2 linked regions of the Canis lupus familiaris genome follow. The protein of the gene in region 1 purifies or fractionates together with the protein of each later gene. This does not show direct contact. Links are inferred from orthologs where the notes say so. Each region holds a gene or a part of one and is shown on either strand. Other genes may lie near its edges.

Region 1 (3,656 bases):
CCCTTTCCAGCGGAGATATGCGGAGGGCTCTGAACATTTTGCAGGTACAGTACTACTCGTAGCAGATCTCAAGCTGCTGCTTTGGAAGAGTTCTAGGTAGGCAGCAGCACAGCCAACCTACAAATTCAGAAATCTAGAGAGCGGTAAGATCTCAATTTCATCATGTACCAACAATCCCCCCCCCCCCACCTTTGGGTTTTAAATAATTGAAAGAATAACGTGCTGCCAGTGAGGGAAAGCTAGGGCAGGACTCTGGCTGGCACACAGCAGCGGCATCTTCTCATGCTTCCAGCTGAGGCCAAGTCTTACCAGGTAAACTGTGCAGCGTTCGAGCTGACCTGTGCCCAGTCACTTTACTGCGCATGTGCAGTGCTGCCTCAGCTTCCTCCTGATCCGCCTGCACCGTGGTGGCTGCCGTGACAGCCACGATACTCCCTCTTTGCACAGAGCACCAATATGGCCTTCGGGAAGGTGACAGAGGAAACGGTCTACACCTGTACCGGGCACCCCCTCAAGTCAGACATTGCTAACATTCTGGACTGGATGTTGAATCAAGACTTCACCACAGCCTACAGGAGTATCCTTCCTTGTGTCCTGCTGACAGTAGGTGCTGTATCTCAGGCCCAAGTGTGACCTGGGAGCCCAGGGTGCAGCCAGTGCCTGCACCCTGCTGGCTAAACACGGCTACTCCAGAGGCTGGTCGGCTTGCTGTGGATGAACGGTGTCTGTGGGTGGAGTGGGTCCTGTCTTTAATGCCCTGAAGTTCTTCCTGAAGGAGTGTGACATAGGTCTGTCTTGAAGCCACCTTCCTCACAGAGGAGAGCAGCAGTCAGATCTTGGGGTGGCAGGTGTTACTCTTGTTTTGCTGTGAAATTAAAAGCCAGGGGCAGTGATAGGAAGCCTTCAGGGGAATGGGTGGGCTCTGTTCTCTACTAGGCAGAGACACAGTTCTGCCAGAAAGCCCTTGTGGAAAATGGGAAACATGGAAAAGGTAACAAGTGGAGTCCACCTCATGCAACTTCAGATTGAGAGAAACCACTCTGTTGGTTGGGGCTAAAAGCCCTCCTTCCCACTCACCGGAATCTGGGTTCAGAATTCCATGGTGTGTGTTTGTTCTGGAACCTGTGCCCTCTGCCTTAACTGTTCCTCTAGATATAATGGAGTTGAAAACGCTGAAGGGCTTGGCACTCCATGATATCCTGACAGAGATACACTTGTTTGTGCACAGAGGTAACTCTCGTTCTTCCCTAGTTGAGATGGGAGAGGAGGCGAGTGGAGTTAAGGGTGGGAGGGAGGGAGGGAACATGAGGCTTCGCTTTTGAAGCAAAGAGATGAGAATGAAGTATAAACCCTGGCCCTGCAGTCAATTTTCTTTAGTATTTAAAACTGTTCCAAAACTACTCTTAACCTCTAAAGCTCCTGAGGGAAGAAGCTCCAGAGGGCTGACTTTATTTCCTCCAAGGGTTTAAATTTTACAGCAGTAAAATAGTACATTTCATTCACATTTCTAAAGGTATTTTCCCTCAAAAGGAGAGAAAGAGAAGGAACTATCTTCAATGTAAACCAGAGCAGTCTTAACTAAACCATCTTAAGTTGCACACTTGGCCGTATCTACCATACAGAGAACTGGTTCTCCACCTTGGCAGCACATAGTAGTCATCCCAGACCAAGTCACTTGGCCTTTTGGGGGGAACCAAGCAAGCATCAGGATTTCCTCAGGCTCTCCGGGTGGTCTGTTCCGAGGCCTCTTCCATCAGGCTCTTTCCTCTGCCACAGCCAACTGCCGACAGGTCCATGGCTTGTTCTGCCAGTGCCTCCGTGGGCCTCCCCAGGGCCAAGCAGCAGGTTGATCGCTGCCCAAGAACATGGTCGGCTCAAGCCCAGCTCTGCACTTTGATTGTGGAAAATGAATACTTACAGATCGATGGATTTGTTTTTAAAACCTACCCTGCTGCTAAAGCAGCGTGGTTGACTCTTCCCTGTGTTCTTGTGATTGCTTTGGAACCTGTTCACCAAATAGGTAAAAACTGAAAACTCCTGCAGCGATCACTTCCTTAGAGGTATGGCACCTAGTGACCTCAGGCCTCTAGACAAGTTTTTTTTTGTTGTTGTTGTTTTTTTTTTAATTTTTTTTAAATTTATTTATGATAGTCACAGAGAGAGAGAGAGAAGCAGGCTCCATGCACCGGGAGCCCGACGTGGGATTCAATCCCAGGTCTCCAGGATCGTGCCCTGGGCCAAAGGACGGCGCCAAAACGCTGTGCCACCCAGGGATCCCCCTCTAGACAAGTTTAGTGTCTCCTGCTGTTTAAGTTCATAATTGTGTGTTTGGTTTTGTTTTAGTAGTAGGGGATGGCAGACCCTTGTTCACTCAGTTTTGTTTTTCCCTAGTTGACTTTCCATCTTCGGTTCGAGTACATTTACTGACCAAAATGGCAGACATAGAGTGAGTAAACCCCAATTTTGATTCTTTTCCCTTTTTTACCCTGTTGTGTTTTTTTTCTTTTTTTTTTTCTGCCTGGTTGGTTCCAACTTGCTTGTCTGCATCAATCCCCTGTGGTACAATCTAGTTTTTGGTGGGATCACTGAAAGAAACAGGAACGGTAGGATTTGCTTAAAGAACATGAATAAATACAAGGACAGGTTCAGCTCAGTTACATATTGTAGATAAAGGCCTCTCCTTACACCTCAAAGGCTTAGAGTCCACGTTGGTTCTAGAAGAGCCACTTGTGGGAGGCCCGCAGCTGTTACAACATCTCGGTTATTCAGGGACAACCAGCCATCCAGCTGTTATGAAAGCATTTTGGCATAGCAAACCATACTGGGGGGAGAGTAAACATAAATTCTGTTTTCCACTTTGCCTGGTTCCATAAATGCAGGTATTTGCCCCAGTGAAGCTAGCAGCTAGTATTTAGGTGGAGAGGAGCACTGGGTTTGAAACAGACACCAACAGAGAATCAACTCTAATTTGCTGTCATTGGCCTTCACATGCACACATTAGGTCACCACTTCCATGTAATGAGTGTCATGATTTTGCCTCCACTGACTAGGCACTTGAAAGGTGGCAAGATGGGGATGCCTGGGTGGCTCAGTGGTTGAGTGTCTGCCTTCAGCTCAAGGGCGTGATCCCAGGATCCTGGGATCGAGTCCCATATCAGGCTTCCTGAAGGGAGCCTGCTCCTCCCTCTATCTATCTGTGTCTCTCATGAACAAATTTAAAAATATATAAGTTTTTAAAACTTATAAAAAAGAGGAACAATTTCTCTGAATGCATTTTGTGAGTGAAGAAGTAAATCCTTATCATGTAAATTCTGTGTATGTCTATAGAGCCAGCATGAAGTTCAGTTCAGAACACTGTCATTGATAACTATCAATTTTTAATTTCCCCTTACCATTTTTTAAAAGATTTTATTTATTCATGAGAGAGAGGCAGAAACACAGGCAGAGAGAGAAGCAGGCTCCATCCTAGGTCACGCCCTGGGCTGAAGGCTGTGCTAAACTGCTTGAGCCACCCAGGCTGCCCTCCCCTTACCAGTTTGAATCGAATGTATAAATGAGAAGAAAACGTTAGGGCACATACTGAAGATGACTGTCTGGGATGAAGCTTTATTACCTGCTTTTCTCTAGCAAACTGTTCCACCTTCAAACTCTATCAT
Region 2 (3,656 bases), on another chromosome or scaffold:
AGAAATTAATTACACTCTTCTTCCCTGGTATTGATAAACACATTTTCACCAGAGCGCTGCTGTCAAACTTAGCATATATATTTGTAGATGAGATGAGGGAAGCCCAGAGAGAATCTCTCTCTTAGAACCTTAAGAGTTATTACATACTGATTTACTAGTATCATATGTGTGCATAAGTAGTTTAATCTCCATATCCACTCTAGGAGGTTTTGATTATTATAGTTGTCACCTCTGCTTTACAGATGAAAAAGCTAAGGTTTAGGATCTTGCTCATGCTCACCTAGCTAGCAAGTGGCACAGTTTGGATTTGAACCCAGGTCTGACTTCAGAATTTAAACTTTAGAGCAGGATGCTAACTGCCCCTGAAATCTTTACCCTGAATAGCAAGGTTGATTAAAAAAGAAAAGAAAGTTTGCTATTACTTGGTTATTTTAAACAATTGGAACAGAAGATTCACTAATTTTTTATTAATTGTATTTATTGGAAGTGAGGATGGGTTCCCTGTATAGTCATTTGAGTTTTGGTATCTTTGTGTTAACTGTGTAGTTGTCAGGTCTTTGCATGTTTGCATATTTGGCATTGAATGTATATGAAGGAAAGTAATTAAGATACTTATTTTCTGTTTTTCTTTAGGATGCCACTTGTGGCATTTGAAACCACCTACTTGCCCTCTCTTAACCAAACTTAAAGAACTGAATACTAGAGTAATAGATCTCTCAAAATGTGTTCTTGCTCTTGGTGAATTTTCAACATTGAATTCAAATTCCAAAATTACTAATTCTACGGTTGTGGTAAGTATAGAGAGCTCATCCTTTGTAGGGTGTTTCCTTCACATCTCTCAGAGGGGAAAAAAAAAAAATGGATATCGACTATTGTCATCTAAAGTTCATTTTTTTTCCCCTAGAGTCCAATTTAAAAAAATAAATCCCAGTTGAGGTAGACATCTCTTTTAAATATTCCTACAGCTTTGGAAACATTTTAAGAATTAATGGTAGCCAATTTCAAAAGAATATTAGGTTATATATAGCACATTTAGGTATTGTATATGTCAGCATTCTAATCTGATAAATGTATAACTTACAGTTAGTTGAAAGAGGAAACAATAAAAATATGAATGAAATCCTTCAAAAGCTATGCAAATGCAGCTTTGCTGTCAATGTTGTATTTAGTCACTAAAACTACTCCTACATTAATACTGACTTATTAGAAAGTGGTTGGTGACTAATATTAATAGATCATGTAGGGGTCACCTGGCTGGCTCAGTCAGTGGAGCAGACAACTCTTGGTCTCAGGGTTGTGAGTTTGAGCCCCATATTGAGCATAGAGATTACTTAAAAAAAAAAAAAAATCTTAAAATAGATAATGTAGGTCTGTTGTTGAGCATTTTATTCTTTATTGCAGTTTGTGGACAGAAGGAAAGATATGACTGAAGAAATAAGAAATCTTTTGCTAGAGGAAATTAGGTGGTCAAATCCTGAGTTTTCTTTGAGGACATATTTTTCTTTGCTTCTAAAAAAACGAAGTGAGCACCAAGTACTTTCTGAATGTCATCGTAAACAAGGTTAGTGACAGTTATCATTTACGTTAACATTTTGCTTTTGAAAACATTAAGACTTCGTCATTGACTCTTGGAAGTCCAGAGAGAATATTGCTGATGATCAGCTGTTCAACTGGAATAAAGCATCTTGGTCAGTGCAGTGTTGGCCCCTACCATGCAAACCCAAAGACAGATTTTATTAGGTTAAAACATTAATAGTTCATTTAAGGAAAGCCTTAGGTGAGATCATTTGAATTTACATACTTTGTGTAAAAGGCAGTCTATAGAACAAGATGTCCTGATTGCATTCATTGTGTGCCACATTTGATCCTTACCTCTTTATCTTGGAGTAAAAAAATTATTGGATATTTTGAAGTGATATATATAGATGACTGGATATTAAAATTGGTTTTTGGTTGAATAGTAAGCACATGCACTTCTGTAATTTCTGAAATAGAAAGTCCACAACTAGAGCCTGATGTCAATCAAAAGGAAACCAAAAGGAAACGAGTGGAAACAGACATTCATAAGTCAAAAAGAAAGAAACCAAATGAGTCTTCACCAAGTCCAAAAAAGATAAATGAGAAACCAGAAGAACTTGACAAGAGAAACAACTCCAATAGGATAAAGCAAGGCCTTTCTAAAACATCCAGGAAGAAACAAACTACTTTGAGTATAGCGTGTAAAGTAGAAACAGAAGCAGTTGAAGATCCTGATGTTCTGATAATAGATGATGGCAAAGAGTCTCCCTCAGAAAGATCTCCTATTCCTGGTAAATCAGACCTTCTTTCTCTGCTCCTACAACACTTTTGTTTATTTAACCCTTCATTTTCTCTTTTTAATACATGTTCATTGCAACATTCAAGCTATATATGTATATAAAACAAAAAGTGGAAGCCTTATTAATTACACACTGACACAGTGACACATTTAATAGATTGGTGTTTGGTCTTTGATTTTTCTGTGCTTTTGTAAATATGTGTTTTTTTAAAAACCTGGAATTGTACTATACAATTTTTATGTATTTATCATTATTATTTTTTAATGCTATACAATTTATACCTATTTCACGTGTCTCTGACATGTTCCCGTTTGGGTTATCTAGCTTTTTCAAAATATTTTTTTAAATTAATTAAGTCATCCAGTTATATAGCTTTAAAGTGTGTTTTGATATTTATACAGCAAATTTCCTATCATTTTTTAAAACTATGTTTATGTAGCTGTACTGCTGAAAGACCTACAGATTCTCCTACCCCCACAAATCCCCTTAGGTTTTGATTTTGCATTAGTGTATAGATTAATTTGGAATGAATTGGCATCTTTACAACATTCCGTCTTCTCAAATGGGAGTAGCACATCTCCATTTACCCAAGTTGACTTAGTAGGTCGTTTTAATTTCTTTTTCCAGGAGTCAAAGGAAATTACACTAAAATTATACTGCCTTTGCTCTTTTTTTTTTTTTTAAGATTTTATTTATTTATTCATAGAGATGCAGAGAGAGAGAGAGGCAGAGACACAGGCAGAGGGAGAAGCAGGCTCCCTACAGAGAGCCTGACATGGGACTTGATCCAGGGTCTCCAGGATCATGCCCTGGGCTGCAGGTGGTGCTAAACCGCTGCGCCACCAGAGCTGCCCTGCCTTTCTTTGCTCTTTAGATTATTTCTTACAGTATACATTATTTTTCATGTTTCATTTTTTTAGTGATTATTAAAGTTTTAAATATGTGCTAATATTTATCTTTTTAATATTAAAAATTTTTAAAGATTTTATTTATTCATGAGAGACTCAGAGAGAGAGGCAGAAACACAGGCAGAGGGAGAAGGAGGCTCCATGCAGGGAGCCCGACGTGGGATTCGATCCCAGGTCTCCAGGATCACACCCTGGGCTGAAGGCAGGCGCTAAACCGCTGAGCCACCCAGGGATCCCCTAAAAAAATTTTTTTAAGGAATCTCTACCCTCAACATGGGGCTTGAACTCATGATCCCAAGATCAAGAGTCACATGCTCTACCCACAGAGCCAGCCAAGCGCTTCTAAATGTGTACTTTTTTTTTCTTTTTTAAGATTTACTTCTTTATTAATGAGAGACAGAGAGAGAGAGAGAGCATGGCAGAGATACAG

The links. The genes of interacting proteins can lie anywhere in the genome.
Region 2: the proteins of RFC5 (region 1) and ATAD5 purify together in Homo sapiens (affinity purification with mass spectrometry; 4 studies listed by BioGRID and IntAct, counting the BioPlex papers as one, with this or other methods). This does not show direct contact. The link is inferred for Canis lupus familiaris from reciprocal best matches to the Homo sapiens genes RFC5 and ATAD5.

What each region holds. Positions count from the first base shown.
Region 1 is NC_049247.1:14,768,835-14,772,490, forward strand, and holds part of RFC5 (replication factor C subunit 5), read left to right. Parts: coding exon 1-44; intron 45-447; coding exon 448-577; coding exon of another isoform or gene 578-607; intron 608-1,152; coding exon 1,153-1,230; intron 1,231-1,513; coding exon of another isoform or gene 1,514-1,578; exon of another isoform or gene 1,579-1,754; intron 1,755-1,776; exon of another isoform or gene 1,777-2,020; intron 2,021-2,391; coding exon 2,392-2,446; intron 2,447-3,656. UniProt on the Homo sapiens protein: Subunit of the replication factor C (RFC) complex which acts during elongation of primed DNA templates by DNA polymerases delta and epsilon, and is necessary for ATP-dependent loading of proliferating cell nuclear antigen (PCNA) onto primed DNA.
Region 2 is NC_049230.1:40,865,598-40,869,253, reverse strand, and holds part of ATAD5 (ATPase family AAA domain-containing protein 5), read left to right. Parts: intron 1-633; coding exon 634-791; intron 792-1,401; coding exon 1,402-1,561; intron 1,562-1,994; coding exon 1,995-2,309; intron 2,310-3,656. UniProt on the Homo sapiens protein: Has an important role in DNA replication and in maintaining genome integrity during replication stress.